Linked DNA regions of Schizosaccharomyces pombe. The protein of the gene in region 3 interacts with the protein of the main gene of each other region in a biochemical or structural test. Each region holds a gene or a part of one and is shown on either strand. Other genes may lie near its edges. The genes, in order: ned8, nep1 and cul3.

Evidence for each region.
Region 1: of the proteins of cul3 (region 3) and ned8, one has a biochemical effect on the other in vitro, tested with the Schizosaccharomyces pombe proteins (one study listed by BioGRID).
Region 2: the proteins of cul3 (region 3) and nep1 form a complex in vitro, tested with the Schizosaccharomyces pombe proteins (one study listed by BioGRID).

What each region holds. Positions count from the first base shown.
Region 1 is NC_003423.3:2,315,314-2,325,563, forward strand, and holds ned8 (ubiquitin-like protein modifier for cullin Ned8), read right to left. Parts: upstream 4,983-10,250; 5' UTR 4,944-4,982; coding exon 4,926-4,943; intron 4,878-4,925; coding exon 4,860-4,877; exon of another isoform or gene 4,789-4,859; coding exon 4,676-4,788; exon of another isoform or gene 4,626-4,675; coding exon 4,538-4,625; 3' UTR 4,445-4,537; downstream 1-4,444. Other genes in the region: SPOM_SPBC12D12.05C (calcium-binding subfamily carrier protein), read right to left, coding at 1-474, 512-673; cyclin CycC-like Srb mediator subunit Srb11, read left to right, coding at 855-886, 1,299-1,378, 1,457-1,823, 1,888-2,095; thioredoxin Trx2, read right to left, coding at 2,671-2,938, 3,021-3,154; ATP-dependent RNA helicase Spb4, read left to right, coding at 5,070-5,104, 5,234-7,019; SPOM_SPBC24C6.03 (proline--tRNA (Pro) ligase), read left to right, coding at 7,711-8,988; put2 (delta-1-pyrroline-5-carboxylate dehydrogenase), read left to right, coding at 9,943-10,250.
Region 2 is NC_003423.3:3,297,117-3,307,072, reverse strand, and holds nep1 (NEDD8 protease Nep1), read right to left. Parts: upstream 2,539-9,956; 5' UTR 2,237-2,538; coding exon 2,209-2,236; intron 2,129-2,208; coding exon 2,074-2,128; intron 2,000-2,073; coding exon 820-1,999; 3' UTR 520-819; downstream 1-519. Other genes in the region: synviolin family ubiquitin-protein ligase Hrd1, read left to right, coding at 1-519; psl1 (pho85 family cyclin), read right to left, coding at 3,036-3,767; U6 snRNP-associated protein Lsm5, read right to left, coding at 5,332-5,358, 5,407-5,473, 5,520-5,643, 5,745-5,769; RNA polymerase II nuclear import protein Rtp1, read left to right, coding at 6,247-8,490; sterol transfer protein Ltc1, read right to left, coding at 8,784-9,956. UniProt on the Schizosaccharomyces pombe protein: Protease that catalyzes two essential functions in the NEDD8 pathway: processing of full-length NEDD8 to its mature form and deconjugation of NEDD8 from targeted proteins such as the pcu1, pcu2 and pcu4 cullins and other proteins.
Region 3 is NC_003424.3:485,073-497,803, forward strand, and holds cul3 (cullin 3), read right to left. Parts: upstream 3,643-12,731; 5' UTR 3,544-3,642; coding exon 3,502-3,543; intron 3,446-3,501; coding exon 2,061-3,445; intron 2,022-2,060; coding exon 1,912-2,021; exon of another isoform or gene 1,860-1,911; coding exon 1,795-1,859; exon of another isoform or gene 1,751-1,794; coding exon 1,577-1,750; exon of another isoform or gene 1,526-1,576; coding exon 1,116-1,525; exon of another isoform or gene 1,060-1,115; coding exon 888-1,059; 3' UTR 651-887; downstream 1-650. Other genes in the region: TIM23 translocase complex subunit Tim15, read left to right, coding at 3,707-3,957, 4,002-4,278; gup1 (MBOAT family O-acyltransferase), read left to right, coding at 4,944-5,190, 5,266-5,699, 5,740-5,859, 5,907-6,077, 6,114-6,786, 6,833-6,939; dop1 (family protein DOPEY), read left to right, coding at 7,389-7,404, 7,440-7,558, 7,601-9,313, 9,351-9,543, 9,595-12,617. UniProt on the Schizosaccharomyces pombe protein: Probable core component of multiple cullin-RING-based BC3B (BTB-CUL3-BTB) E3 ubiquitin-protein ligase complexes which mediate the ubiquitination and subsequent proteasomal degradation of target proteins.

The DNA.
Region 1 (10,250 bases), on a different chromosome or scaffold from region 3:
CGCTTCATATGTACCAAATTTTATGGAGGATTCAGGCATCACCTTTAAAACATTAATGCCATTTCCCACAAAGAAGCTACGTATCCCATTACGGTTCCATAAAACTTTAGTGGTATGTAGCAAAGTAGCAAAAGGATACTTCGGGGAAGGTTTAGAACCAGTGTCTGAAATCAACATGACTTTTAGCCGATCTAATGGCGCTGTACAGGTACGAGAGACGATTCCAGCAATCCCTCCGCTAATGAAATAACCAACGTTATTTTTAGGGTCATTCTCTAGTAACAGATCACCGTCAGGTAAATTCTGTAAACGATGAAAGACGAGTTTCATATGCGGAGTATCATGAATCCAACTTGCAGGAATTATTGAATCATGTTGATGATGCGGATGTGGGTGCAATTTCCAATAGCCATGTCGAAATTGATGCTCAAATTTCTGTTTATGAATGAAGTTTAAATTATCTAAAGCAGTTTTCTAATGGTTAAAGAAAATCCTTTTACATTAAACATACCAATTCCGGACCTTGAAGAAGAGATTGGCAATTTATTTCTTCTTTTGGGGAAAAAACAAATCGCGATTCTGGAAGCCTTGAAACCCGTAAATTATTTTTAAACAAACTATAATCACATGGAAGTACGCTTTGTATAGTGATATCAGATAATTCAGTTGGCATCCTTCATGCCGGTAATGAGTGTACCGGGGTAAAGAGAAATAGGTGAGTCCTCACAGGTCAATGTATCTGACCATACCAGCAGCCCATGAAAATTTATCGTAAATAGTAAAATCTGTGACACTGTTTTTTATTATCTCTTATGATATTTAAGGGTCAATCAGCTTAAAATATCGTGTGATATATGGCAGCAAATTACTGGGCCTCTAGTCAATTGTAAGGTTATCAATTTTAATTTTAAAGGTTTTACGAGAAGGTAATTGGCCTTTAATTCATTCCTATTCTTCTTTAAAATGTCTTAATTGAGTTTTGAATATCTGCTTTTCTATTTTATTACTGCTGAACATATTCTTGACAAATTGAGGCTTGCGAGTGAGCTGATCTACGTCTAATTACTGATCAGAGGAATAGCTTTTCTGTCTACTTCTAGTCACGAGTATCGACTAAACTGGATGTATCTTGTTTGAGTCATTTTGCGCAAATGTCTTGCAATCACAGTTTATTTCGGCTTCTCATTCGTTTCGTTGACTTTAATTTAAAGCGATTTTAGCCTCTTTGTTAGTTTTTGTTTAAAATATCTTCGAACCTTTATTATTCCTTAGTATACTTTTTCAAGCTGACCTTACAGAACACAATTATTCTTATCCACAGATTTGGAATCTTTGGAACCAACTTGCTTATCTAAAGATACAATATATCAATGGAAAGGTATATTTTCATTAATTTTTTTCGGCTTATTCTAGCTTGTGATTTCATTTACACTTCGTTTTGCTGATACAATTCTAGTTGTACAAACGTTTGGAGACAGGCTCAGGCTTCGGCAGCGTGTCTTAGCTACAGCCATCGTTTTATTAAGGCGTTACATGCTAAAAAAAAATGAGGAAAAGGGTTTTTCTTTGGAGGCGCTAGTGGCTACATGCATTTATTTATCATGCAAAGTGGAAGAATGCCCTGTTCACATTCGCACAATTTGCAATGAGGCTAATGATCTCTGGAGCCTAAAAGTTAAACTTAGTCGTTCTAATATTTCCGAAATAGAATTTGAAATCATTTCAGTCCTTGATGCATTTCTCATTGTTCACCATCCCTACACTTCTCTTGAGCAAGCATTTCATGATGGCATTATCAATCAAAAGCAGCTTGAGTTTGCTTGGTATGTATACTTCTTATATTGAAAATCACAGTCGATTAGATTTTTCTAACGATCGAGGAAATAGGAGCATTGTTAACGATTCATATGCCAGCAGTTTATGTTTAATGGCACATCCTCATCAACTTGCGTATGCCGCTTTATTAATAAGTTGTTGCAATGATGAAAATACAATTCCTAAGCTTTTGGATTTAATAAAGAGTACTGATGCCTTCAAAGTTATATTATGTGTTCAACGCATAATTTCTATTTATTATTTTGAGGATATTGAATAACTTCTTGAATACACTATACATTTAGAGCCTCAAATTTTGTTAAAAACGAAAACTATAATTAGATTTTTCTTTATTGCTGATTAATGCCTGAAATTATGTTTTGTTGTCTGGTTTAAAACCGTGTATTATATACGCATTCTCGTTCATGGTGTTATGTCTAAATGAATAAATAGAGCAGTATCTGTGTAATAATATCCAAAATCGAATGGTTATGTCACAAACGTAAAGGATATATTAATGCTTTATCTATGAACCTCAAAAATTATTCCTTAATCACCTCATAGAAATACTCACGTTGTTATAAAATAGCTCATTCTTGTAGCTTCCTGTGTTAATTGAGTTGAACATTCCCCTATTAGGTATTTCTGAAAGGATATTTTTGATTTCAGCAAATTTGGTCCGGCAATTATATAATGAAATTCATAAAGTAAAAACCCTTAAATCTTAAATCTTAAATAAAATAAGCCGTGTCAAGTTTTTAAAACCTAGTTTTGACATAATACAGTGCAATCAACAAATTGAATCGAGAAAGTAAATCAAGCAATTTACGAATGGGGACACCAATATCCCATATTCTATTCTTGATATTTTGCCAACAAAGAAGATAAAGTTTTCACATCAGCGCCGACGATTCTGTCCAATTCTTGACCCTTACGAAACAATACCATGGTAGGCAAGGCATAAACACCGTTCTTTTGAGCAATATCAGAAAATTTATCTGCATTAACAGCAATAAAAGATGCTTTCTGATTTTGTTCGCTTAATTTTTCAAGAAACGGTTTGAGGTATTTGCAAGGACCGCACCAGTCTGCATAGAAATCAACGACGGTAACTTTGTCAGCACTAGTAGCAATTAGCAAGGAGATCTATTCGAAAAAGTTTTATCTTTTATTTTTTACTATGATATATTATTGACTATACATACCTAATTCGAGTATTGTAATCGCCAAACGATTCAACTGCGTTCACCTTTCTCAAAATACGAGAGCTAGTAAAACTTCTGCGCAGAGCAAAAGATCTCATATGCGGCTTTAAAGAGTTTGCAATAAATCCACGCATTTGAATTATAATTTTGGTTGACGGTTTTAATCAAAAATTTAAATAGGTGAAATTATAGCACTTAGTAAGCTAGAACTACCGCCAGGCGGAGAAAAGTGCTTAGTTGCGATCATAAACATTACTCTTTAATACAATATTTTTTAAATTATTACAACATTAATTCAATAAAAAAAGATTAAAAATTTGGGAAACCAATAAAAAAAATTATAATTTAGCATCATTTTTCCCTCTTTATTATATTTTATTAGAATCCTTATTGGAAAATAGAAGCTTTCAAAAAATCTGTAGCCGAACAATTTGAGAGATTTTTTTTTTTTTTTTTTTTTTTTTAATAACTTTAAAAAACACCTAATGAAGTTTATAAATCCTTACCTTTGTTGATTAAACTAAAGTTACTTTAATTTGTTCTTAAATATACAGCCCAAAGATTTTTGGATGGATTTTTTGTACTCACGATTATAAAAACTAGTACTTCAATCTTAAGATTACATAAAACTTCGAAAATCCGGTTATCAGAATTAATTTGAAATTAAGAAAGAATATCATTTTTTTTTAATTTTTATAATAGTAATTTGGCTTTATGCAGACTATTTATAATTAAATGAATCTCTCTTGCTTTTAAATAGAGCAGTTCCTTAAAGCCGATGTCACTTTCTCATAAACAAAAAAAATTTAAAACTTCTTAAATAGAAAAATGAGAATCAATACATTGAAATGGCAATTTATAAGCATATTGATTATACTTTCCTCCTTAAAAATGTAATTTATATAGATTTACATGTATATTTCCTTTATATATGTTTAAGTGGCACCCCTATCAATGTGGCCGTTTGGTCTAGTGGTATGATACCATCTTAGGGTGATGGTGGTCGTGGGTTCGATTCCCACAACAGCCCATGTTTTTGCTACATAGCATTTTGCAGTTAGTTTTATTTAAACAACATTTTCTTTTAGTCTTACTAGAGATTTTGCGTTTATGGTAATTACATTCGATGTTGTACTGAGGAAGTTTTGCTTCGCATGCTACTGCTTTATATACTTTGATATCAGATGGGAATGCGCAAGCAATTGTTGTTATATATTGACTTTTCTGTGCAAAACGTCTCTTTACGACTACTTTACTCATAAATTAACAAGAAGTAATCAATCTTATCGCTGAAATTCATGATCACCAAAACGTCTTAAGTTTAGAAAAGCTTAAGCAATATTTTTATACAAATCAATAGATTCACATAAAATGAAACAGAGCAATAATAAAGCGACTCAATTCTCATTTCGTTACTCTTAGTATTAGTAAAACAGTAAAAAGATTTCGTTTATAGCGTTAAATAAAAGTATGATTTTTTATACATAATTTTTCTTTATAAATAAAGTATGCAACAACTAGCAACTTCCTCCACGAAGAGCTAACACAAGATGCAAGACGCTGCCTCCTTCTAAATGATAACTTTCAGCATTTTTATCATCAGCCCTACGTGATGTTTGTTAGAATCATTGTATGGATGTTCCCATAGTGCTTACATTTGCTTTCCAGCGTAGATCAGACGCTGCTGTGAAGGAGGGATACCCTCTTTTTCTTCAACCCGTTCTTTGATCCTAGAAACCTTGTCATTTGGATCAATGTCTAATTCGATCTTATATTTTGGTTAGAAACATAGATGAATTATAACTGCATATAAATGTTTTCAACATTTAAAACACGAACCTCTTTCCCTGTCAATGTCTATGATTATATATTAGTATACATAAAAAAGAAATAAATTTATCTTACTTTTACTTTGATAAGCATGCTAACTTTTATAAACGCTTTTCTGAAATTGTTGTGGTTAAACGCTAGCAGTTCCTCTCTCTCCCTATAAGCATTCCCCTCTGGCTCACCTCGCGAAAAATTGAATTGGTCTTCAAAGAGGGGACAATGAGTTTTCAGAGTATTAATATAGATAAATGGCTGTAAGTTTTCAATTCTAAAATAAAAATTTTAGGTTCTGCTACATGTTTAACCTGTTCAAAAATTTTTATTATCTAAATGATACCAGGATTTTGTCAAATCAACAATTTACAAGCACTAACATAAACTAGAAAGAACGCCGTAGCTGCTCAAGGATTTAAAAAAATGACACCCGTTCAGGCTAATGCCATACCATTATTTTTGAAAAATAAAGATCTGGTAGTTGAAGCAGTAACGGGTTCAGGCAAGACTTTGGCCTATTTACTTCCTTGCTTCGATAAAGTCACTCGTAGAGATACGGACGAAACAGGTTTGGGTGCATTAATTGTTGCACCTACTCGTGAATTAGCTACACAGATATTCAATGTTACCAAAGAGCTTTTGGCGTACCAACCAGACTCTTTGGATGGAGGGAAAAAACTCGTTGCAGATATGTATATTGGGGGAAAGGGAACGCTCACGAATGATTTAGCTTCATTTCGGGAAAAAAACCCCTCAGTGGTGATTGGTACACCCGGTCGATTGAATGAAATGCTTTCTCATATATCCAGTAAGCATTTGGAAATACTAATATTAGACGAAGCTGATACCCTTATTGACATGGGATTTCAGCGTACATTACAATCCATTATATCTCAACTTCCGAAACAACGTCGAACTGGGTTGTTTAGCGCAACAATGAATGACACTGTGTCATCATTTTTAAAAATTGCTGGCCTTCGAAATAGCGTACGTGTTTCTGTGACAGTTACATCAAAAAAAATTGATACAAGAACACCGTCAAGTCTAGCTATACAATCTTTAGTGATTCCTCCCATATACAAAGTACAATGTATGATACATTTGCTTTGTACGATCGAATACGAAAAAGCAATTGTTTTTTTTTCTTCTTGTGCTTCTGTTGAATATTTTAACTCCCTTTTTCTCACTTATAAATTACCGTTTGAAATAGTAGCTTTGCATGGACAGCAAGTTCAGTCGAATCGATCACGTAATTTTGAAAAATTTAAGAAATCAAATAAAAAAACAGTTCTTTTTACAACTGACATTGCTTCCCGGGGTCTTGATATTCCAAATGTTGACTTTGTTCTTCAGCTCGACCCGCCTTTGGATCCGAAATCTTTTTCTCATAGATGCGGCAGAGCTGGTCGCGCTGGTCGAGCGGGTGTTGCAATAGTTTTGTTAAATGATGGAAGAGAAGAAGAATATGAGGAATTGTTAAGGGTTAGGAAGGTACCTATTACTCGTATAGACACTCCAATTGAAGCTTTAGATCTTTCACGACTTAAAGTATTAACCCACGAATTGAGAAAAATCGTATCCAAAGACAGAGATCTATATGATAAGGGATTAAGAGCGTTTGTTTCACATGTTCGTGCGTACACAAAACATCATGCGTCGTTTATTTTTCGTATCAAAGATTTGGATTTGGGACAGTTGGCCACGGCATACGCTTTATTACATCTTCCAAAAATGCCAGAGTTAAAAGACACCGAAATATCCGAAAATATTTTTAAAAAATTTGACATTGATTATGCAACCATACCATACCGTGATCAAGTACGCGAGCAGGCCAGACGACGCCGATTGGAAGTCGAAAAAACTGAACCCAAAAAATTAGCTCGGCCAGCAAAAATTAAGAACGAAGCTTGGTCCAAACAAAAGGAAGTAAAGGAGAAGCGTAACACCCGACGTGAAAAAAGGAAATCCAAGAAAGAATTTTTGAAGGCACAGAAAAACGAAGCTTCTAATAACCTGAAACAAGAAATAGTATCAAAAGCTGGAGCACAAGAAACGGAAAACGATGACTTAATAGATGAGGAATCGGATGCTTTATCTGAATTAGAAGAGGATTACCGACAGTTGAAAAAAAGCAAAAAAAGAAAAAATCAAGCATCCTTTGGATTTAGTATGTAGCAATGTATTTTTAGGGAATGGAAAAAAAAACGGGGTTTTGGAAATATAGGAAAGTCTTTTAGTATTTTTAAATATTTGAGAACTTGGAAGATTAATTGGAGTTGTTCAGCAAATATTAAGTTCTTATTCATCAGCATTTATTTTTGAATTACTGCATTTGTATATTTACTTTACATTTACAACGATTACTTAACAAATTTGTGAAAAATGCAATTAAGCGTTTATCTACACATAATTCTGCGATCAATTTGATATTTAAGAAGTAAAATACTTTAAGCAACTGAAGCAGTAGATACATTCAATAAATTTAGATTACATTTCCACAATTAATTCCAAATTTTTTTTACTAAAATCTGGTTAAGGATATCATATATATATTTTACTAATTACTTATAGTGCTGTCTACGGCCATACCTAGGCGAAAACACCAGTTCCCGTCTGATCACTGCAGTTAAGCGTCTGAGGGCCTCGTTAGTACTATGGTTGGAGACAACATGGGAATCCGGGGTGCTGTAGGCTATTCCTAACTTTTTGCTAGCCTTATTGCAATAAGGAGGTCAACTCAGTTATTTATTTGGACGAACCCAGCGCCTATTTCGATTACTATTGACAAACTACTTCTATTGGATCATTTATTTTGCGATTCTGAAATTTTTTATATGCTTTTGTATAAAAACACCATGTTTAAAAAATGCTACAACATTTAAGGAATCGTGCATCGATTGAAGTGCTAGGGAAAGCGATACGTAAATACAATGTCCCGGAATCAGCGAATCAGTTACTTATAGATATGGGGTTTATCCAGCCGTCTATGCCTGGAATTTTTCAATATTTACCTCTGGGGTTGCGTGTACAAAATAAAATATGTGACTTGTTGCACATATCAATGCGTTCTTTGGGTGCTTCAGCGATCAGTTTGGCACATCTTTCTAGTAAGGAGATATGGGAGAAAAGTGGAAGATGGCAAAAGACTGGAAGTGAACTTTTTCGTCTTCATGACCGAAATGACAGAGAAATGTGCCTTGCTCCTACCCATGAGGAAGATGTTACTCGCACTATGGCTACAATCATAGATTCTCAAAAGCAATTACCGATACGTGTTTACCAGATAGGTCGAAAGTTTCGGGATGAATTACGTCCGCGAGGTGGTCTTCTTCGCGGTAGAGAGTTCATGATGAAGGATCTTTATACTTTTGATATCGACAAAGCATCCGCTATGAAAACTTACGAGGATGTTTTGCAAGCATATCATACTTTTTTCAAAGAAGTGGGATTGCCATTCGTGATGGTGAAAGCTGCTACGGGTAATATTGGAGGAAACTTATCACACGAATTTCATTATCGACACCCTGTGGGAGAAGATGTAATCTATACATGTCCGTCTTGTCATTATTCAACAAATTCCGAAATGCTTGATTTGTCTAAAACATCCAGTGATATTTCATGCCCTAATTGCAATGATCAGCTAACTTCAACTACCGCGATTGAAGTAGGACATGCCTTCTATCTTGGAAAAATTTATTCCTCCAAATTTAATGCAACGGTAGAAGTAAAAAACAAACAGGAAGTCCTTCATATGGGATGTTATGGAATCGGTGTTTCAAGACTTATAGCTGCAGTCGCTCATGTAACCAAAGATGCAAAGGGTTTAGTGTGGCCATCGTCGATAGCTCCTTGGAAAGTACTAGTTGTTCCTACTTCTGATAATCATATTCAGAGCGCTGAAACGGTTTACGATGCCACGGCTAACGTTGTAGGCTTTGATAATGTGCTGTTGGAGGACAGACAAAATAGAGCTTTTGGATATAAAATGAGAGATGCTGAGTTGATTGGATATCCATTTGTAATAGTTGTAGGATCAAGATTTCAAGAGGAAGGAATATGTGAAATTATTGTTCGTTCTTCAGGTGAACGATATAAACTTGACAAAGATTCACTGCATCAAGTACTCTTGGGAAACTTTCTTTAAATTTGTCAAATCCTACAATATTTTTTTATGCTATGAGAGTAATCTAATGTCAAGAATTTAACTTATCGTTCAAATAGATACCATTTCTACTTGTGAACATTGGAAAAAAGCTTTTTTGTCCAAAAATTATATCAATGCAAAATGCTGAAATCATCATTTCGATAAAATTTGTTTTGTAGTATCAGACAAAAACTCGTTCCGCTTTATTGATATCTTACTATTTTATAAACATTAAAAAAGTGTCATGTTTCCTTCCTACTTCTTTTTGTAATTCGGTTTTCTGCAACTATAGTTTGAACTCATAAATTAAATCAGATACACAATCTGAGGATCGGATGCAAAACTAAGTTTGAAGTAATCCCTGCAAAGAGCTAGCTGATTCAATAGTACGAAGCAAGAGTTTAATATTAACAATCATAAAGATTTGCGCTAGATTACAATTTAAGCGAAATACAATTCCAAGCCTTCAGGCTATCTATTTAATAGTTCGGTAAGATAATGTGAAGATGTCCGAGTGTGATTAAAAGCAGTTAAAACACTTCCCTTTGAAATAAATCAAATAATACGACCAAAGACCAACAAGTTCAGGGTTCACTTCTATAAGTCTCATAATCAATATTTTAGCTGATTTTTTAAGCAAAATTGCAAATTCCACGGAGTGCGATCACATCGACACTACCTGTTTATAAGAATATATAGGAGTATATATATAAGAGGCAAATCTCTGTCAGGATATTTCCAGAACACCAATACCTCAATACAGGCGATTAGAAAGGAAACGATTTCTAACGCTCTTTAAACGTTTGGATTGAAACTAGTAAGTATTTATATCTATGTAATAACTGTTTTGAGTGAGACCCCTACGCGTCTTTTCATTGCTTTCTATCTTTAGGTTTTCTACGTTTTATTTATGCGATATTAATACTTATTAGATTTATTTCATTTTTAAGTAAAATGTCACAATTTGCTGAGTTCAAATTACCTGCCATTAAGAACGAGCCTCCTAAACACTATGGTCCCAATAGTGCTGACAGAGAGGGAATCGTCAAGGCCTACAAGGAGTTAGAGGCTGAATTACCTGTCACTATCCCTGTCATCATTGATGGTAAGGAAGTTGAAACGAATACCATTGGTGAGCAGCGTTGTCCTTTTGAGCACAAAAAGGTCGTTGCTCGCTATCACCGTGCTGGTGCCAAGCACGTTGAAGATGCCATTGAGGCAGCACTTCGTGGAAAGAAGGTCTGGGAATCCTTACCTTTTGC
Region 2 (9,956 bases), on a different chromosome or scaffold from region 3:
CTAGTATCTAGCAATACTCAATCTCTATCTACCAACTCAGCAATGACATCTTTATATCAAAACGCATCATCAGCAGATAATAATCTTGGCTCCTCTTTACCCAACGTTGTACCATTGAGTAGAGGATTAACACAGTCGAATGAAACGTCTAATACGTTTCCCGCTGCTTCATCTAATATATCTTCTCAGCTTCGTGAACTTCATACCAAAATTGATGAATTACGAGAAACGGTTTCTAACTTTCGTGCTGATTACAATAGTATACGTACATCTTTAAATCAGTTAGAAGCTGCAAGTGGTATTAATGAAAGGATACAAACTACTTCTGCTGATTCACTATTAAATTCCAATGGTATGAGTGGGACTGAAGGATTTGAGAATACGCAGACTTCCATTACAACGAACGACAATCAATCATCGATCTTAACCAGTTCAGATCAAACATCCCCATTTGCAACTGATGAAGATCGACAAAACTCACGAAATGTACAATTAGAAACTGTGGATGAAAATTTTTGAAATTTACTATCAAACTTTTTTGATAATAATGAACGACCTAAAAATAAAGAAGTGATAAGTCATTTACTAATAAATAAATAATTTCTCTTGTATAAACATTTTTCAATCAATAATTAAGCAAACGATTATTGCACTCGTGATAATAATAACATATTTGTAAACAGCAAAAGATTTAGCGACTGCTGATAAAAATTACACAACCATTCACATCACAAGATAGGATAAAACTCAGATTGTTTGAGTTGAAACAAGCCTTCCCGCTAGTTTGTATATTCGAAACTAAACAACGCAAGTGTAGCATCAAAAAGGGAAATCACCAGATACAAGTTCTTCCGGAGGAGTGAGAAAAGGATTATCAGTGCTATTATGAAATTTCGGTAACTCCCCCTTCGCTATATGACTGTTCATATGGACAGAAGGTAATGGCGTAGGCTCAATTTTGTCAATCGCAGATTTGTCAAGTTTCTCATCAGAGAGTAATGGCAAATGATCTTCTTTGTTGTTAGAAGGTGAAGGAACACGATCTTGTTTTTTTTCAGAAGGTGAAGGCACATGATCTTGTATCTTTTCAGAAGGTGAAGGCACATGATTCTGTTTCTTCTCAGCAGGAGAGGAAGGGTCATCGTCATGACTGTGATGATGATGGTGGTGATGATGGTGATGATGATGGCCTTCATGATGCAGGTCCTTATCGCTTTCATGGTTATTATGGTGATTAGTAGATCCTGACTCTGAAGACTTCTTCAAATTAGAGTTAGAGCTTTCATGTGATGTTTCAGATGAGTCGGATGATTTAGGTAGAACCGGGAGGGCAACATCGAGAAGAGGAAGGTGAGATTCTAAGTCAAAAAACACAGTGCCAGTAGGAAAGTCCTCGTCAAAATCGCCGCTTACCCTTGTCCCCAAGGAGTTAATTATATGGTCTAAGCAACGGCTCAACTGCTCCCGAATAGCTGTTACATCTGGCTGAAATGTAGACAAATTCCACATAGAGCTAGTGGGCATCGGTGAATGTAACAAACGCCGAACCAGTTCAAGGGTAAAAGCACAAACGTGTGCTCCACAATCATATCCATTTCTTTGTTGTTGTACGGGCATACACTCTATTGTAAATTTTTTTTTGAAAAGATCCGAAACACGGGCCAAGGCACTGCGACAATCTTTTGTCTTTCCGTTGCTGAGAGAATCATAATAGTAACATTGCCCATCAGGAATACTTGCGACCATTAAAGACCAGTGTGAACCTCCACTTCCTGCCGCATGTTTATCCAAATCATTGATAGGCATAAATAAATATTTGCAGTTCATTAACTTTTTAGGCAAAGCAACTTTGAGCTCTTCAGGAGAAATAGCAGCTTCTGCTAGTAGAAAAACTAACGAAGGGCGAAGCAGCAAAATTTCATTAGCTTGATTTGGGTATGAGGGAAACCATAGGTGCTCAATTAACTCGTCAACATAATCAATACTCACATCAGTGAACCTAGCTTGTATTAATTGAAAGATTCATTTCAGATGCACAAAGTAAAAGTAAAACATGTATCCAAATTTCCTTACCAGTTTGGCTTTTTTAAGCTATCCACGTCTTCCTGCTTAAAACACACATCAAATACTTAATAGCACAAGTTAGTTTTTATTCAGCAAACTTAAACGCTTCTAGACAGAGATTTCACAATATATGTGTAAACTTACATTCAAGAACGGTTGGAGAACTGCTCATTTAAAAATTGTTTAAAAGTAAGTACGAAATGGGGAAAAAAAGGAATTTAAACAAACAATAGGTCCGCAAACAAAACAGCTCGAACGGAAGAGTAACACGAGTGTTAAAATAAAATGTTTATTTTATCGGGTTAAAACAAACAAAAAAATCACGAGAATTGAAAGCGGAACCAGAGACCGGGAATACAGCGTTCCTATACCAAACAGAAGTAAGGCTCAATAAACAAACAGGATTGGACGGCTTAATTAAAATAAAAAAAAACAACTGCAGAGTAGGCGGCAGAAATAAACAAATTGCAACGTGAAGAGAAAGGAACAAATGGAACAGGGATAGCGGAGTAAGCTAAGGACTTTGATCATAGCGGACCTTTACAACAGCCTTAACTTAAACAAGGAACCAAAGCACAATATACCGTAAGCGTTGTAAGCATCGTAAAGTAGAATACCGAATACAAAAGTAGCATGCAATTTCCAAATTCCAAAAACCTTATTGCAAGTCAGATAATCCGAATGTAATAAATGAGAATTTCATGAAACGGCATGTTTTGAGATAAAAACATTAAATAAGAGACAAAGGAGAAATAGCATATACAAGTACAAAATTTAAAGGCCACTTGAAAATTCAGAAACTAGTCGTATCCACATTGACACAGCAGAATGAAATATATATATATACAGACAAAAGGCACCAAGGTAACTTTTCCAAGTTTTAAATAATCAGATTAAATATTTTCAACAGAAAATAAAGATAAATAGATGGAAGCAAAAAAAAATTTGGAGGACCAAACACAGTAGTAAATTTAACCAATTGAGTGAGAAGAGAGTAACCTTCGATCCATTATGGGCCGACGTGGCTGTTCATCTTGTTGATTTTGTTGCGGAGTATGGGAAATGGGAGATTCAATAGAGCATGAAACATCGGTAGGGTTGTAATTCTGCCCATTTTGCCGATACCATGAAAGTAGAAGATCACCGTATGCTTGAAGGTCCTCCAAAGATATAAAAAGATTGAAATCATTAAACACAAAAAAAGATAACTCCAGATGATTTAATTCGTGCAAGGGAATACCACCAACTTTTGCATAGCGACTGTTAGTATAGAAGACATCGCTGAAAAATTTGCTTGCGGCCGTAAACCCAGCGATTAAGAAACGATGAATATTAAAGCTGTTGATAAAGACAGTGAAATGAAAATGATGAACAATTCTGTCAAGGTAAATCAAAACACTTAAAAATACATCGTTAGTTGCAGGACAGTACTTTAAGATTCGTGTTAGATAAGCCTGAATAGATATGGAAGGCACATTTTTTGCAGAAAATATCAAACAAGGGTTCTTTAAACTTGTTGGAGATAATGGTATTTGATCTGATTCAGTAGCTTCCTGCTTGCTATCGTTCAAACGCGTTAGACGCGAGAGAAACACAGATATCATTTCCAAGAGCTTTTCTTGATTAAAAGAAGAAAGCTCCAAGTGTTCTTCATCTTCATCTGTGTTATCTTTTGAGGTTAAAAGCGTAAACGCCAAGGACATAGGACTATTATAAAAATGTTTGGTAAATGGACGAATACGTCTTTACTGTCTGTGACGCCAATCCTAGACTTTAAGTTATTGCGAAATCTTGCGTGTTCTTGTCAACCGGAATACAACGTTGCGTGCACTTATTTAGATCGCTAATTTTTTATGAAGCACTAGTGAAATGTAACAAACTCGACTGTAAACATTGCAGATTAAATCACGAGCGTTTCTTCATAGTACTTTTTCTTGATTCAAGTAGATAGATGAATGTAAAAGGATTAATAAATTAACTTTTTATATCTCAATTTAAAATCCGTATTATTCGCAAGAATCAGTTTAGTTGATTCAAAATCGATTAATTTTTAAAAAAAAGAGTTATGATTCAAATATACAGGAAGCAATACAGTTTTACTAGGAGTCCAGAGCTATTGTTACGAAAATTCTAAGGCTAAATGGGATTTAAATCAAAGTATATAATCGGGTTGGCCTGCGCACCAAGTAGATAATATTTACAAAGACTGTAGTAATATAGCGTTTATATTGAAAGACGGCTGTAATCTGCCAAAAAAAAGAAATCAAAGAAAAAAAGCAAAAGCATTACGATAGTGATTTTCATCTATGTAAAAAGTCAAGTCCTAAAAGCAACGAGATTGGAATTTAAAACGAAAAAGTTTAATGGTTTTAGCTGAGTTTTGTCGTTTTTCTCTAACTATTTAGGGATAAGGGAAGAGAGGATTCAAAAATTTCTTAATAATCCAAATGTATAAATGATGAGATATATAAATCCAAAGTATTAAACTTCGTTTTCATTTTAATTTTACTTTTTCGTTTCCTTCATAAAACTGCTGAAGATACTAATTCTCAAAATTTTGAGTTTACAATAACAAGGTTAGTCACTTTAGTTTATATTAATGATAAACAACAAATATTCATACTTTTTCCAGTGTATAATCATAATAAATCCCCATTTTGGCCAACATGAACAAAAAAAAGTCAGTATGATTCAACCAGATGGGCTGGAAGAGATAACTTGAATAGTAAGATCCTGTAAAGGCTACTCAAATCAATGTTTAGTATGTTGTCTTTCAAATTAGAAGAAAAATTGCTATCATCGTAGGCTATGCATATCCCGTTTATGCCAATTTCTACAGTCAGATTACATTCAAACAATTAACTTTAACACAGTTTACATCATCTGAAATAACAATTCATTTTGGTAGTATAATTTGAGATACAATCACTAATAGGAAAAATTATGGAGGATGGAAGTATTAAGCCTTTATTTTTGAATAATCACTCATTTCAGAAACATGCAACCAGTCCTATAAAATACCTTATTTTTGCAATCAAATTCTTTAAATAACTCGATCAAATTTAACCGTATCCGAAGACATGGCTTTACCAACGCTTGTTGTTCAATTAATGTAAAAAGTGAGACTTGGGTCTAGATATTTTACCATATATGGAGTGCACACAGTATGAGCTAGATTTGGCGTGCAATATATCTCCATTTGTTTGATAATAACAAAAATCACTCTTCCTTCATCTTCAAAAGACTGTTAAATAGCCAAGTACCAACTTATTCGGGTTTTCCACCAGGAATCAACTAGATAGTTAGTGTACAAAAATTCCTTTATTATTTTCATTGACATACCATGCACATCCCATTTCCGTTCAAAAGCATTTCAGAGTGTTTTTCGGTAACGCCGGTAACAGTATCACTTCATAGAAATTAGCAAAGATAATTAAAGTTATTATATTTCATACTATTCTGTAACATCTTTTAGAACAATATTCACATAATCATCGAATCCAACAAGTGTCCCCGCAAATTCGCGTTCACTTTTCATGATCACCCATAAGTTTGATCCAATGCATTTATCAATTAATTCTGCTTGTTAGCATGAACAGATTTACCCAGGGCATAAATCAATAATTTTTCCCTTTTCTTATTATGAAACTAATTTAGAATGTACTAATAAATCTACATACCTAAAGGTAAAATTGTCATCGACATGGTGGAGGTGGATTGCAAGTTCACATAAATTGCTACTATACAAGAACCATGCTATCATTTTACCTGAACACATAGTGTTAAGGGAATATCATTTATTGGAATCTTGAAGATTTTATAAATAAGAGGTTATCGTTTCATTAAAACTGTGGACATCTTATTCGGTCTTATTTTTTGGTCTTGTCGTTTGTCAAAATTACACAGTTGTCGAATAGCGATCCATTTCTTTGAATGAATCCAAGCTAAAGCTGTCTAGTTATAACTTACCCCAAGTATTTATTGCTACGATCAGGAATTAGTTATCCACATATTTTAGCCACAAAGTTCGTTAAATAATTAAGGTTTCCGTACCTGGTTCTCATATTCTAAATATTTGCTATTGCTATTTCTTAGTACGGAAAGTATAAGAGTTGGTTTTTTGCCTTCACTTACTTATAACGTTCACTACTTAGCAAGTGAACTTTACAAGCAATATTCCGCATGGATGCAAATCAGAAGTTATTAGATTTTGCGAAGCTTTTAAATCAAAAGAATGATTCTCGTCCTGTAATTGAAAAATTGAAGGATAATATAAGTGGTGATTTATTGAATTACTTCCTCAATCTTCTAGAGGAAATCTCAAAGTTGGATACAGACCAACCCTTAAGTGTTACCTCTCTACGATGTTTGCAGCTTTTTGTTCATCTTACATTTTTGCTTGGTGTTTATACTCAACTCCCCAAAGAAATGCTATCGCAAGCGAAAATTAAGGCATTACCTATTTATACCCCCAAAAAAAATCTGGTCCAAATTTACAATATTTTACTTCCTTTATTGTTAACTCCAAGTTTATTACAAGGTCCACTTAACCTTCACTATGCCGACTTATTGTTGCTTCATTTATATTTGTTGAACTGCCATGAACAAGGTTCTCTCATTGAAGAACCCAGGCCTTTATTTTTAGACCCTTCATGGAAAGAAAAAGTAACGAGCATAATGTCTCCACAAATGGTTGATCCATCTAAAATGATTTCTTCTTGTTTATCGCTATTACAACCGAATGTAGATAACTGGTTGCAAGATAAATTGAAACATTATTTAACTACCTGTCTTTGTAGAGAAACTGGCGTGCAAGGATTTCTCAAAGTTTATATGCAAGCACAGCCAAATTCAATCGAACGCGCACGACAGGCCGCTCATCTGATTTCATCTGTTCCAAAGGATATCTCACCACAGAAATATTTTTCGTGTATTCTTCCTCAGGTTTGGAGCCTTTTCAGCACTCAACCTCGATTAGCGTCACAACTCATAATTGCTGTAACAAATACACATTGTGATATTGTTACCTCTTTTCTTCTTAAAAAGCTCCAAATACTCGAAGCACCGAAAGTCATCGATTTATCCCCATTTGAAAATGCATTGGACGTTCTTCAAGTATTAGTCTACATTCAAAACGATGATATAATTCGCATATGTGAATCTTGTGTACCAAGTCTTTTGCACTTACAGGAGAACACAACTTTACGTTCTAAAGTTCAGGATATCTTGCTTCGTATTATATCAGTCTGTGGTACCAAATCGCTGTTAAGGAATTTAACAAATGCAAAACATCTTCGTATATTTTGCGAGAGACTGACAAAATCACAATTAGCAATGTTCCTGCCTAACTTGTTAGAAATATGGGTCCAGCAGCCACCAGACAAGCGTTTGGAATTACTCGAACTTGTTCAATATGCCCTGTCTAATGTTGATTCAGATGAAATTCCTAGTAATGTAATGCTGTCTGTCTGCACTAATCTGATCAATGAAGTGGCTAGTCAAAATAAGTATTCCTCTACAGAAATATCCCAGATTACTACTAACCGAGAAGTTGAAGAAGAGAACGAAGAGATTCTTCTTGTTTTGCTTAACATTATATCTTCAGTTATCGGGAGAAACGCTGAACTAGATTTGGAAAACCCTATTTCTTCATTACTTCCTGCACTAGAACAGCTCTCTAATTATAGTAACCGAGAAATTTCTGACCTTGCAAAGGACGTTTACAAAACTCTTATACAATCTAAAGATGACTATTCGTTAGCACTGTCATATACTCAAAGTGACTTGGTGCCAGTGAGAGGACAAGGAGTTTATATGTTAAGGAAGCTAATAGAGAAGAAAGATGATCGTATTAATCCAGTTCGTGTTTTGCACGTTTTAATAAACTTGTTACGTGATGAAAATAGCTACGTGCATTTGAATGTCATATCTGCAGTGGTTTCTCTGTGTGATAAGTATGATGATTCATTGATTCGTTTACTTAAAGAGTATACGAACACAAATAAATTTACCGTAGATGAAACACTTTTGATCGGCCAAGCTATTTATCAGACTATGGAAAGGCAAGGTGAATTGGTAGCAAAATTCTATGGCCAAATTGAGCAAACATGTTTAAGTATGCTTAATAACGAAAATACTGATATAAAAATTTCTTCCTTGAATATTGCTAGACTTTTGTGCCAAATGACCTCAAGTGATGCTTTCATCGAATCTGCAAAAAATATTTTGATTTTAGAAATGGGAAGTGACAAGCAATTTCTTCGACGAGCAGCAGTGCAGCTTCTTGATTCTTGTAAGCATCTTCCTGATTCTGTCATAACGACACTATCTTATGTTGGTTCACACGATAAGGATGATTTTATTAAAGAAAGCTGCTTGAACATTTTGGCTAATCAGGCCGATGCAGCGAAATACTATTTACAATAGCGTTTGTAATTAATATATGTTTATTATTAACAGACACGATTTAATCAACAAAAATCTGGTTTCGTTAAAATTAGACTGTTAAAATGGCCTAAAAACATTATTATTCGTGAAGCAACATGCAAAATTTAGTGATGATTTATCTACACTTAAATTGTTAAAAAAAAATTCTAAGCTTAATTAATGTCATTTCATCATTGATAATAAGAATAAATTCTTAAAAATATACTTGCAAAAGCCCTGACGAAAAAAGCAGGAAAAATACATTGAAAATTCAGTCGCCGAATCAACCGATGTTAAATATATCCACTTGCCTCTAGTTTTCTAAGTCTTTCCTTTAGCTTTTTAAGTCTTCGCTCCATATAATCAGTAGCAATTTTTATTTTACCATGTTCAAGATTCGGATCACTATTTTCATAAACGAAATCCCTATCGCGTTCGACGCTGTCCAACCTAGAAGTAATCCACAATTTAAAAGCTGTGTCGTCCATTGGAATGTGGTCAAAATCTAAGTCCCTGGATGAATCTGAACGAGAAGATGTTGAGGGAAGCTCAGCATGCAATATTTGTTGCATGTACCACCATTGCAATACAAGCATACTAAACATAACCACCAGAAGTAAGTGTGTAGGATGCATTAGCCAGGTAATTATGGTAAAGGGAAAGGTATACAATTTTGTGAGAAAAGATGATGATTGCTCGATTGAAGAATTGTCTACTTTTTCAGGAGCAACAGACGTTTCAGACGCATGCTTATTCTTTTTCTTGGTATGTTTAGTTATTTTCTTCCTCCTTCCCTTAGGAGAGACCTTATAGTTCTCAAAAGCAGTCAGAAGATCTTTAACGTAAGATGCTTGTCCCTCTTGGGCGCCCTTCTCTATTGGACCTTTAAGCCACGAACTTTTGCTCCATTCCACTGAATAGCTTATATTTAATTTCGTTTTTGAAGAATGAGCCCAGCTAAGTGCATATAAGGTCTTTACGACAAATGAAGTACCACTGGGAACATCAGGTGTTGAGGTAGTAGATAAAATTTCAATATAATTGTTTATGTCAAGGTGTTGTATTGTGTCGGTAATGTAGCAACTAGTTTGTCGGTAAGGGGGGGCAACGGGTTTGATGTATTGTACCTTACGATTCCATTTATCATCAATTTTTTCCCATTTTCCAATTTTAATTTCTGTAAGTTTTTCTGATTTAAAAAAGTTAATTATCCATGTGGTATCAGAGCCGCATAGTAAATTAAATACGGTGGACACTGAAAGGTTAACAACATCAGAACATAATACATGCGCTAATGGCGATCCTGTCCACTCTGTTGGAGGGTGTGAAGTCACCTCGGAAACAGATAGTAGTGAAGTGTCTGCCCCATCTTCATTCATCTTTTTAACAGAGTTACCGTCAGATAACACGACGTTGTCTGAATGGGAAGAGCCTTCACCTTTTGGTGATTCATCAGAAACATTGGA
Region 3 (12,731 bases):
GTTCTCTGCAAGACGAGTAGGATATCAAAAAGAGCTTTGTATCTTAGCTTAAAGTAAGAGATTGTAATCAACCTTTGGCAACCTTGCGGATACTTAAAAGTGTTTGGTGGTTAAAAGGAAGTGTGGTACGCGGAACCAATTAAATGAAATTGGCGAACAAGTGGGGTTCGTTAAGATATTTGAGGTTATTTATACAATTTCCTAAACAAATAGAATTAAGCGGAGAATATACAGAATAGCATTGAACGGTAGATATTTTTAGGGGTTCTTCCGAGATTGCTAAAGAGGATAGCGTAGTCCGTTAGGAAAGAAGAATATTCTTAATGTAAACAACCAGGTGTTTCAATACTAAATCAAATACATAGCTTTATTATTTGATTAACACCTTAAAGATTATAAGGAGCTTTACTTGCTCTGGTATTTTCGATGTTATTAGTAGAGTCATCATCAAAAGCATACTGTGTAGGATAGTGTATTTACGGCGAATTCGCTTCCTCCCATAATAATTTTTTAGGTTAACACTTCCCATCTATCGTTGATCAAATACCTTAATCTATTTTAAACTGAGGGTTTTTCTGTTTTGGTCTTTTTGTACAATGTATATGGAACAATGTAATTTAAACTCATTACTCTACTATCTGCTCGCAGAATTAATGTATCAAATTTTGATTGATTTGGAATATAATCTACCTGTTTTCAAACCTTCTTATAGCATTACTTAAAATTTTCTTTTTTTCAAAAATAAAAAGGAAGTTGGTGTAAAATTCATGAGTGTCATTATAATCACAAAGCTTTTGCTAGATATCATCTTGAACAAATTGGTATCTTTCCATTTAAACATGATTTCTCGTATACGAATATTGCATTTCGTGTAACAGTTAAGGCTGCTATGCTAAATATTCATAAATGCGACCATTATCGGCTTGTCTTTGTAGGTACTCCCGCTCTATTAAAGCTTCAATTCGTCGCTTAATCATCATCGGACTAGGGTGGAAACGAGGGTTTAACTGTCTTGTAACCTCTGCCATCAGCTGATTGTGTTCGCACACTTTGCGATCCCTTAATTTACTGTTAGTAAAAATGTTTGAAAAAAAAAAAAAAGGAAAAAGACATACTTCATCACTCTAACAATACAGGCATCTGCTTGATGCTTCCTTGACTCGTCTACCTTCTCTAATGTACGTTTTCTCTCACTATCATCCTCAACACGAGTCTGAGCAACTGTCGATATTTTAATCCGGGCGAGATTTGAAACAAAGTTCTCATTGAAATAAAACTTGTCACCTGCATTCACCTCCCTTCCTTTTGGATCCTTTAGCAAAATCTTGTATTTTGCACAAGCAAGGGACTGAAGATTGCGCTTCAAATCCCCAACTTCTATATTGGTTTTTTCCAAAATCTCCTCAAAAATTAAACACTGATTTTCTTTTAGGTCTTGGAAAAGCAATAGAATAACAGATGCAATAGTCGATACATTCAAGTCATATTTTCTGTCTTTGAAATTAACACGGACATCAGCACTTCCCTAAATAGGATTGTTAGTGTGACGCAACAAGCAAATAAAAGTTTACTATACCATAGAAGGATACCACAATAATTTTCTCCCCGTATGTTTCGATAAATAAAAATCCGTAAATTGATCTATCTGAGCCAGGAGAACTTTCGGAAAGTTACATTTAATTTTGTGAGGCGATAAATCGATGGGCCAAAATGTAGAAGCCAAAATTGAAACGTTTAAGTCCAAAGCAGGCTAACTGTTAGTATAAAGGATTATCAATAAAAATTTCCACTAACCTTGGCCGACTGTAACGCAGAATTATGTTTGTACTCCTGTAACAATTCTTGTGAAAGATTCATATCTAAGCATTAATAAGGGAACGCAAAAAAACTTGCTAAAGTCTGAATACTTACCATTAAACATTCCTTCGAGCTTTTGAGTAAAAACATTACCAGCTTCTTGTTTCAGCCTACTGATCATTCCGAGCTCTGCATCGGAAGATATTGATCGATTATTCAACAACCTAAAAGTGTTAAAGACAGTAAAAACAATTAAAGCATACCTTTTTGCAAGGTGTGTTTTGTAATATTTTTCAAAAACATCTTTTTCTGAAATAAACCGAAATAACGTAACAGAATTTTGAAGTGTTGCTTCAATAGAGCCTTCTATTGCTTTTCTAGCATCTTTTTTCAGATTGTCATCAATGAATAGTGAAATGTACTCGGGGGCTCGGGTATATCCGTCTACGAACGTAACAAAAGCATCTGATAAAGAGTTCAAGATAGACCGATCAGCATCCATAGTAGTACTTATAATTGTATTTAGTCTATCCCATAAGGCCAAAACTTTTTGAACCCATAATGTTGCCATTGTAGCATTAGATGATAGACGACCAACAGCCATCTTTCCTTCAAGCGCTTGGCTAGTAGTTTCATTGATTAATTTTCCATGATGCGCTACATATTTCGCCAAGTATTTTTTTAAAGACTTCACGCCAAGTTCCACTCTAGAAAAGCTTTCGTAAACCAATTGAAGACCCTCGAAGTTTGAAGAGTCGATCATCGAGAAAAAGCCAGTTGATTGATTTTCAAGCAAATCGTCCAAATGTTTACTCAAAAGCTCATCTTCAACAACGGATAGAAGGGGGCTAGCTATTTTTGTGAACAGGTAATTCTTGGACCTCTCCTTTTCTTCCTCAAATCTTTTCTCTGCTTTTTTCAGATACTCCACAACTCCAAATACGCCGATGACTGTTGATGATTCTATTTCATAGAAATTTCTTGTGTAAGATAAAAACTTTGGAGCAAATAAAACATCATAAAGAGTTTCCTTTTTGTTTTCTGAAGGCAAAGAGTTTAGCATATCTAAGCAGTCATTTATTAAGGGTCGATTTATTGTATTCCCTTTACGTTCAAGATAAACCAGAATTAGAATAGTTTCGACACATTTCTCTCCAATTTCAAAACTATTTAACAAAACAACTTCACGAAAGATATATATTCCGTTTTCATTAACAGGAACTTTGTCTGCAGATTTTGAATAAACCTTGTCCAAATATTTTAATACACTAGATATCATTTGCATTGAAACAATGTGATCCTTCCAGGAATTAACTAAAGACGATAAAAATCTATGAGCCGCTTCCAATGATCTCGACCATGAAGTAGAATAGGAATCATTTTTTCTAATATCCAATAGAGCATTCCCTAATAAGGAAGCGTCATAGTTTTTGTAAATAGCTGGAACAGTTTCTTCTTTAAGCCTCGATCTAATAACATCCTGTACATGATTATAAAGCTTTTCTCCATACTTATGTAGAACAAGTATATATGCATTTCTATACAACTCTTCAAACGATAATTGAGATGTGCTTTTCTGAAATATATCCCCAATAGCTCGCTGCAAGACTTCCCAATGTGTAGCAAAGTCTACTTGGTTAGCAGAAAACTAAATGTCAGTATGTGAGGAAAATAATAAGGACAGCATGCATCAGGTACACTTACTTTTCGTGGCGCTCGAATTTTTAACTTCGCTGACCGCTGCATTAATAATGGAATTTAAAGTTAAGTTTCAACAAAAAAGCTAAATATATGGGCATATGAGTTTGCATAAAGAAACGCCAGCACAGACGGAAGTAATGGTACAAAAGGTGGTAGAAGGTACTAACTACGAACAACATTCTCCGAACACAAAAATTTTTCAAACATAATGTGGAGCTTTGCACGGTATACTCAAAAATTCTGTTTACGAAATTTGCAGTTAAAAAATTTTTCAAACAAGGTAAAGGTTTCAAGTTTACTTTTCTGTTCCCCGAATGTGAGAAACATTTCTAATTGGCAATGCAAACGCTTCACTCAAAGCGATGCTAAAGATCTTGCAAGTGGTGTTCCCTCTGTAAAATCAGATGCTGATCAATTACAACCTAAACCGACTTATAATGTTTCTTTTACTTGTACCGTGTAAGTATTTATAATTTCATTGAAGGATACTAACCAAATGAAAGATGTAACACTAGGTCAAATCACAATTTCTCCAAGCAGGCCTACCATAATGGGACCGTTTTAGTTCAATGTCCTAAGTGCAAAAATCGGCACTTGATGGCTGATCATTTAAAAATATTCTCTGAAGAACGGGTGACGATTGAAGACATTTTAGCTAAGAAAGGGGAAACTTTTAAAAAAGGCTATGGTCAAGTAATCAATGGCAATGTTGTAGAATTTAAGCCCCCTCAATTTAAAATTCGACCAGCAAAATCATCTTCTTCCAATTCTTCCAAATGAACTAGGAGAGCGATCAAATTGGGTTTAGGAGCATATAAATTGCAAGATATAGTCATTGTTTATTTTAATTTCTATAGTATATATTATTTTTATTTATTTTTGTAATACTTTGGTCAATATATACGACGTTCTAATAGAACATTTAATTATTATATGAGCTTGTTAACTTGAAATTATCTTTTGAATTTTTAGACTAGATGTGATAATTTAGCAATCATTGAGCAAATCATATCCAAAAAAAAATAAATTAATTAATTAATTATAAAAATTAACGATTTTAGAGATCTAAATGGGCTATACAGAATTATTGCAAACGAATGTAAAACATTTTTCAATATATAAGTTGCTAATTTACCAAAATCAAAATTTAGTCTTTAAAGATGCTTAATTAATATTTCTATTTTAATAGCGCGTTTTGTATAGTGCTGACTATTTTATTCATTCCAATAAACAATACAAACTGAATTTATTATTTTTAAAAATATAATTGATTTCATCATACTCTCTCTACCTTACTCTTAAAATTATTTACGGACTATGAAGCTGACACAAAGTGTAAATTACGCAGTGTCTTGCATTTTGCTAGTGAACACCACTAGGTTTGTTTACTCTATGATATTTTGAGAACCGACCATCTTCTTTGCTGTTGGTAGGAGACTTCTAGGATGTTACGTTTATTTCGATTTGATGTTCTTGAGACTTCGACCAAAGATACTGAAAGACCCAATTCTAAAAGTTCACGGTTAAGTTCGACTTCTGGTTCAAGTCATCCATCTTCATCTTCACGTTTGACCGTTCGAAGCGCAGTTCCGGAAAAGAGCGCTTTTGGTTCCATAGAATTTATTTTTTACTTTTCTGTCATTCTATCGATTCTAACAATTGCTTGTTTTAAAATTCATTATGTTAGTTCTCGTAAGTGTCAAAAGCTTTAATCAGCCTTTTCTATTTATCAATTTGAAATAAAGTAAGCAACTAACTAGGCGTCAGCAAAACATCCCAATTACAAAAACATTGAAAAATATTTAAAGCCTGGGTGGTTGTTTGGACAAAAAGTCGATTCCGCTGATTTTCAGTATTCCGCGTTTCGTGAAAATATGCCAATCTTACTACTTGTAATTATTGTCTATAATTTTCTCTGGAGACTCGTTAAGCTTGTCTTCACAAAAAATACTAATGATGAACTCGCTATAAAAAACAACTATCGACTTTGCTTCTCCCTGCTGTTTGCATTACTTGTCTACGGGACTGGCGTTATATATGTTTTAACAATTGCATTGATCAATTATCTCATTTCTAAGTCTCTAAAGAACAGTATTTTTAATCCACTCTTGACATGGACATTAGATATATCAGTGGTGTTTTTTAAAGAATATTTTGCCTATTGCAAATTTTCTAGCCTTCATCCAGGCCTAGGGTTTTTGGTACGCTATCTTTAGCCATCAGATGTTAATCTTTTTACAGGATCAATATACTGGGATTCTTGAGCGCTGGTATGTTCTTTTTAACATTACCATGCTTCGGCTCGTGTCATTTAATATGGATTATTACTGGTCCTTAAAGCACAACTCTGAAAAACTTAACGTAAGTTTGAGCACATGCCTTTTGAGTTTATAAATAATAACCATTAGACTCTAATATTTGACAAAGATCGTGAGCCAACAACATTGACGTTTCGTGAAAGGGTTGATTATTCTTGTCTTGATGAAGATTATAATCTTAAGAATTTTTTGACATACATTTTTTATGCCCCTTTATATTTAGCGGGCCCTATCATTTCGTTCAACAATTTTATGTCCCAGGTAAATTGTTTAATTAAATTTTCTGCTAATATTTAGATGAAATATCCCACAGTTTCAACGCTAAAATACAGGAACCTTCTTTATGCAATTCGATTTTTAGTATGTGTTCTCACCATGGAGTTTTTACTTCACTATGCATACGTTACTGCTATTTCTAAGGACGGAAATTGGAATCAATACAGTGCGGTTGAATCCGCAATGATAAGCTTTATCGTTCTATTTATGACTTGGCTAAAATTGCTTATACCGTGGCGATTATTTAGATTATGGTCATTAATTGATGATATCGAACCTCCCGAAAACATAGTTCGATGCATGTGTAACAACTATTCAGCTGTTGGATTTTGGCGAGCATGGCACCGTAGTTTCAATCGATGGTTGATTAGGTATATTTACGTTCCTTTAGGAGGAAGTAATCATTCAATCTTGAACTTATTTATTATATTCACCTTTGTCGCTCTTTGGCATGACATCAGTTGGGAATTATTTGCGTGGGGTTGGTTAATTGTACTATTTATTCTTCCAGAACGATTATGCTGCTTTATGTCGCGTAGAACTGGTCTTACTAAGCACCCTTACTATAGATACATCTCTGGATTTGGGGCTGCTCTAAATATTTACTTTATGATCATTTGCAACTTGATTGGATTCGCAGTTGGAATTGATGGAATTAAAAATGTTCTTGTCTCATTTTTTCTGACCCTCAAAGGTAAGAAATTTATCTATTTTCGGATTTGTATAACTAATTATTATAGGTGCAATGTCCGCGATAGCAGCATTTATAATGTTCTTCTCTGCTGTACAAATCATGTTTCAAATTCGCGTAAATGAAGAAGAAGAAGGAATTAACTTGCGTTGCTGAATATTAGTATTAAAAAAAAAATACGTGGATCATTACTAATTTTTTTATTTCGTACTTTTTTAATACTTGTTTGTTGTAATAATCATCAGTAATTATTTGGAAAATTACCTGTTCAATTTTGTGAGGTTCTTACTGTGGGATTGAGTATTAGTAACAATAGCACATACCGCGTTTTTAAAATAATGGTTCTGGTATAATTTACAAAAAGAATGAATAATTACTAAATTTACTTGTGACTTTTTTAAAAGTCCATCCAAATAATTGTTTACAGTTTTATCGTAAATAAATACTCAGAAGCACATATTGCAAGTCACAGACTTCTAACTCACTATACCCCAGATATATGCTAGCGTAGCTTAGCCTTATTCCTAGCCTTGCCAACTAACCAACAAGTGCAATAGTTTCTATGCAGTCATATTGAATTTATACCCGTATTTTATGAGCGTATTATGAACACTATAATTGGTACGATTTTAATATGATCTTACATTAACTTTTAGACGCTTCGAATGATGCTAAATATCGAAAATACCAAGACGCCATACGAAAATGCATAGCTTTATTCCAAACTGTAGAACAATGGCCCGATTATATCTCCTTTTTAACAAAGCTGCACAAGGTAAGTGATTTCACTTATATTTATACACAGACTAATATCAAGGTTTTGCAAACTCACTCTTCGTTTGTTAATATTCCGTGTAGTTTATTAGTTTCACGAGCTTTGGCCGAGTGTCTCTCTCCCGGACTTCCTTCTGGTGTTCACAAAAAAACGTTGGAAGTCTACGACTACATTTTCACAATAATCGGAAGCAAGACTCTCACAAATGAATTATCTACATGGTCCTATGGTTTAACTCCGTTTTTTTCTATTTCTTCAATTAAAACTAAACATGATTATATCAATATAATCAAAAAGCATTACGTTTCCCTAGGTGTTGGGATACGCCCGTGTTTTCAAGCTGTGTTTATTTCTCTTCTATCTGGCTTAGAGGAAGATGTCGATGAATCTTCTCAGGAAGTTTACCATCTATTAGATGACTTGGTGAAAGTTTTAAATGATGAAAAATTTGCCTGGGGTTGTATTTGGTCTACTATTCTCAGTTTTCCCAGTCAACGGCCGGGTGCTTTAGCCTATCTGCTCCGTGTATGTAATAATTTAGCTGAAGAAGACATACAAACACGAGTAATTCAACCTGATTCTGGGTTGGTTGTTCGAAGTTTTGCAGCAGCTATCAGCGACAATGATATCCTTGTACAAAGAGGATACATGGATGCACTCCTTAATTACTTTCCCATACAGTCAACTTTCTATAAAGATGTTAAGCCTTTCGATTTAAAGCTCCTCCATATGTCTGTTGCTTCTATAGTTTTAAGGAACGATCTATCTCTAAATAGGAGATTTTATGCTTGGTTGATGGGTTTGTCTAAGGATACAGAATTGTCGATATCTGATTCTTCAATTACTGTTGATGAAAATACATTACAGCAAAATATGGCGATATTTTTTGAAGGTGTAAAAGATCTTCTGTCATCCAAGAATAGCTTAATGTCTTTTTATAAAGCTTTTCGTATTCTATATGCTTTATCTGATCGACGTCCTTTATTTACAATTGTCGAAAGCCAGATACTACCCTGTGTATTGCATTCTTACGAAACTCTCACGAATGTTTTTCATAGAGATGATTCAAAGCATTTATATGAATCTGCCGTAGATCACGGACGACGCTTAATAATGAAGTTTAGCGATTCCGAATTACACACTTTTTTGTTTCATTGTGTCAATAAAATAGTTGCGAATACTACGGAAAATAGCGATTCTGCGGAAGCCGTAAAGTTTATCCTGGACAGTCAGAACTTCTTCTTTGAGTCTATAAATACTGAATATTCATTCATAATTTTCACAAACTTACTTATGCATCTTGAAAAAACGTCTCCCAACTCTGATGTTGATGGGGTTTCTATGACTATTTTGACTATTTGCAAAATTTTATTGAATAACTTCGACTGGAATTTTTTTAATTATAATAATTCTGCTATTGACAGTTATGCGAAATGCACGTTAAACTTAGACTCGGACTTTGAAAATGGCATATTAACTTATGAGATTTTGTATAAAAAATGCAAATGTTCGTTATTGTCACTGTTAAAGCAATACATAAAAGATTCTCATGTTCATCATGAAGTTTTATTAATATCTCTTAATCTTATCAAGGAAGCTTCAGACACCGAATTTGAAAATGAGTTTCTTGATCTATCCTTACAGGGATTTAAAGATAATTCGTGGAGTTTTCAAACCCTTGGTAGTTTTGTAAAGCAATTGCCATCAAGGATTTTGATTAACTCTACAGCTTGCGTCAATGTGATTTTGGATAGGGTAAGTACTTATGATATCCAACGTACTGACTATGTAGATTTGGTGTGAGCTATGTATGTTTTCTTATTTCAGAGAAGAGGAGCTTTTATCTGTTATTTGGACCCTCCAAGAGAAACTTCAAACTAGAATAATTGAATCGTACTTTTCAACGTGCATTGTGAAAGAGCAACTTGAGCTGAGAGCTCCAACGATATACTATACACCTTTCTATAATCTTTTAAAGAAGAGTGGTAAGTTTTTCTTGTTTTCTTTTCTTTTTTTACTGTTTTCTAACTTTCAAGCTCAACAATCTCTGTTTCATTTCGTTTTTGACAGGCCCCTATTACTTTTATTAAATTCATTATTAGAAGATGAGTCTGGGAGAGATTATACAGCAATGATGAATTGGATTAATGCATCAAGTTCTTTGCAATTACGTGTCTTGGAACTTATGACTGAAAATTTATTGAGTTTATCTCCCAATCTAACCAGTGTCAATTCTCTGGAAACGGCTATGACCAGATATAATATAAATGAGGACCAGAGAAATAGTGAAGCTAGTCGATGTGTATATTTTCTAAAACTTTGCACTCGTATAATTTCTTATTTTCAAGATCTTCATCCTAAAGAAGGAAGACTTAAGAGTGCGAAGCAGGTAGAGGAACTATGCCTGGTCACTTGGGCTGACGCCCTTTTGATTCAAAAAAAATCTTTAACTTACTCTTCATTTCTTGCTTTTTTAGTCAAACTGTGCTTAGATATAGTATTAACTCCTCAAAACATAAAAACGAGCACAGATGTGTATATTATTCAAACCTGGGCTTTGCGATTGCTTTACCAAATAACCTCCATATGGGAAAACCCTCTAAAATTTGAATCTAGTCTAATCGTTGGGTTGTTTGCGCTTGTACAGGAAGTTGAGCGTTCTCCTTCATCAACTTATCGAAGTTTTATTTTGAGTCTTTTGCAAATGCTAGAATTTTTACTCTCTCGATTAGATGGGACTATAGATCTTTCCTCTGAACAGCATTATCTGTTGTCCAATTTTGTTTTGGTTGGAATGTTGAATGATGATCCAGGACTTTCGCCAAAGTGGCTACATGCTATAAAGAAGCTTTTACCTCTTCTTTTACAAAACCTTCAACTTTTGATGGTTAATCCCATTCAATCTTTGTGCAAATTTGTTCATTCATTTCTTGACCAACACGAGTCTATGTACCTAAAATACCCTGACCCAGTAAAAGATTATGCGTGCATGGATGTTTTTATTGCTAAGTTGAAAATGCTTAGCGAGTTAGTTTCAGCAGCCTTATTGGAATTCACATATTCACCCGGCCCCAAGAAAAGTAATTTAGAAGCCAATGGTATCATCGGAAATGTCATTTCTGGTGTGTTTGCAGCGGAGTCGTCAGGCGTTAGCATCGATGTCAACAAGAGATTATCTATGCTTTTAACTATGCAGGATGCTTTGCAAACATTATTTTTATCATATTCATGGCATATTCGGTCTTCATATGCTGATAAAACGTCAAAAGTATTTATGAATGATTCATCGGTTTTAAAAGAAGCATCCTTATCGGGATTAAAAGAGTTTTACTTCTGTGAACCTCTTGAATGCGTAGAAACGCTGGTACAAATCTATTTGGAGAACAATGTTGAGTGTTGCCAGTGTATATGGGATATATTTTCATTTCTTAGTGATTCTGAACCTCAGTACATTGTTAAGCAATTAGTTTCTTCTTTTTTTGCACGTGAAGGAATAGCTAGTTATGCAGGGCCTTCTAGTTTGACAGCAAAGATTACACAACTCGATATTTTATGCTGTATGTCTGACTTCGTCTCCAGAGTGGAGGGCGAAAACACATCTAAGATTTTTACGGAAATTTCAAAATTTGTTCGGGAGATTATTTCTTCCTCAAACAGCTTTAAAAACTATTTGCTGGTATGTTTACGAATGCTACTGGAAGTTGCAAAAAACGTGAACACTTATTGCGAATCTCGCCAGCAAAAAGACTTTATTGATTTGATGGGGAAAACATTGTCCTCAGTCTTATTTCATGCAGGAAAATCAAGTGATCCAAACCTAACTGTAGATTTTCTGGCGTATCATAAAGCTGCTGCAGACACGTTTGAGGTTGCCAAAACACAAAAGAAAACTAGCTCCGTGTATTTATTCGTAAAATACTTAGATCCCTCTTTGCTTGACTTTTTCTGTTCTGAGTTTGTTCCAAAAATAACCGAGCTTTCTAAGGAAGAAGATAAACTAGTTGCTTGGGCTACATCAATCGTCAATGTATTTATAACTCCTTTAGTAAAGGCTAGGACATTTCCGGAATCACTCACCACTTATCATTTGGACTTATTGCTCGTGTTGAGTAAACATCCGTTTTTGAGTAAATCATGGAGGCGCGATTTTTGGGAAATTTTTAATGATAATTCACTGTTCAGGTTCGATATTGATCAATTAAGAAAGCTTTCTCCAGTAATATACACAGCTTTGTACCAAGAGATATCTAGATTAAATGATCTCATAACAAAATCTGATTTAGGCGTTACTACTTTATTTACATCTCGGGATACTCAACTAGGTGCAAGGCAGAGCAACATATGTCGGATCACAATATTAATGTTATCTTCTCCACGTGATTTTTTCCTGCCTAGTCTTCCACCTCTGATTGACCTTGTCAAACGGCTTATAACGTCTGATCCTGAAGGAGTATTAAAAAAGGACCTGTTTTTATTTATTAGAGCTCTAGCTTTAAGGACCTCTTCGAAGCATTTGCTTCCATTATGGCCAATCGTTGTTAGCGAATTGTTGATCATTTTTAAATCTTACTGTATGCCAAATGTTGCCATTTCTAAAGAGACATTATTAGACGCATGCAGGCTTTTGGATTTTTTAACTGCACTCAAACTTGAAGAATTTGCGCTACATGAATGGGTTGTGATGCTTAGTCCACTAGATGCTGTCTATTGGAGCGGAAAAACTAGCCGTAAATCCCTCGTACAAAAGGTTTCTGAGCGACTTCAGGAGCAAGCATCGGAGAAGGACGACAAATCCAGTGTTGAATCCGAACATTCTATTCTTACTTCAACTACAAGAACCCCTTCTTTAGGCATTTACACAACGGACGCTCAATTAAGAAACTTTTTAAATCGCATTTCTATAGACGCTTATGAAGAAAGCTACTCGTTTTCAACAATCGACATACAATCTTTTGAAAATTCTATTTACAGGGAAGTTCTTCAAAGGTTTTCTAATGCTCCCCTATCTCCCTTTTCTTCAATTAAGGCTCCATCAAGCCTGGCTGGCTCCAGTAATTAATTCATAGTATTTTATATCGATTAGGAAGTCTAGGCTGTGTGGCTTCTTATGTAACTTCCAGTTACTCTAACCTAATTATTTTTGTATGTATTTTCTTTTCAAGTTTCAATGTTT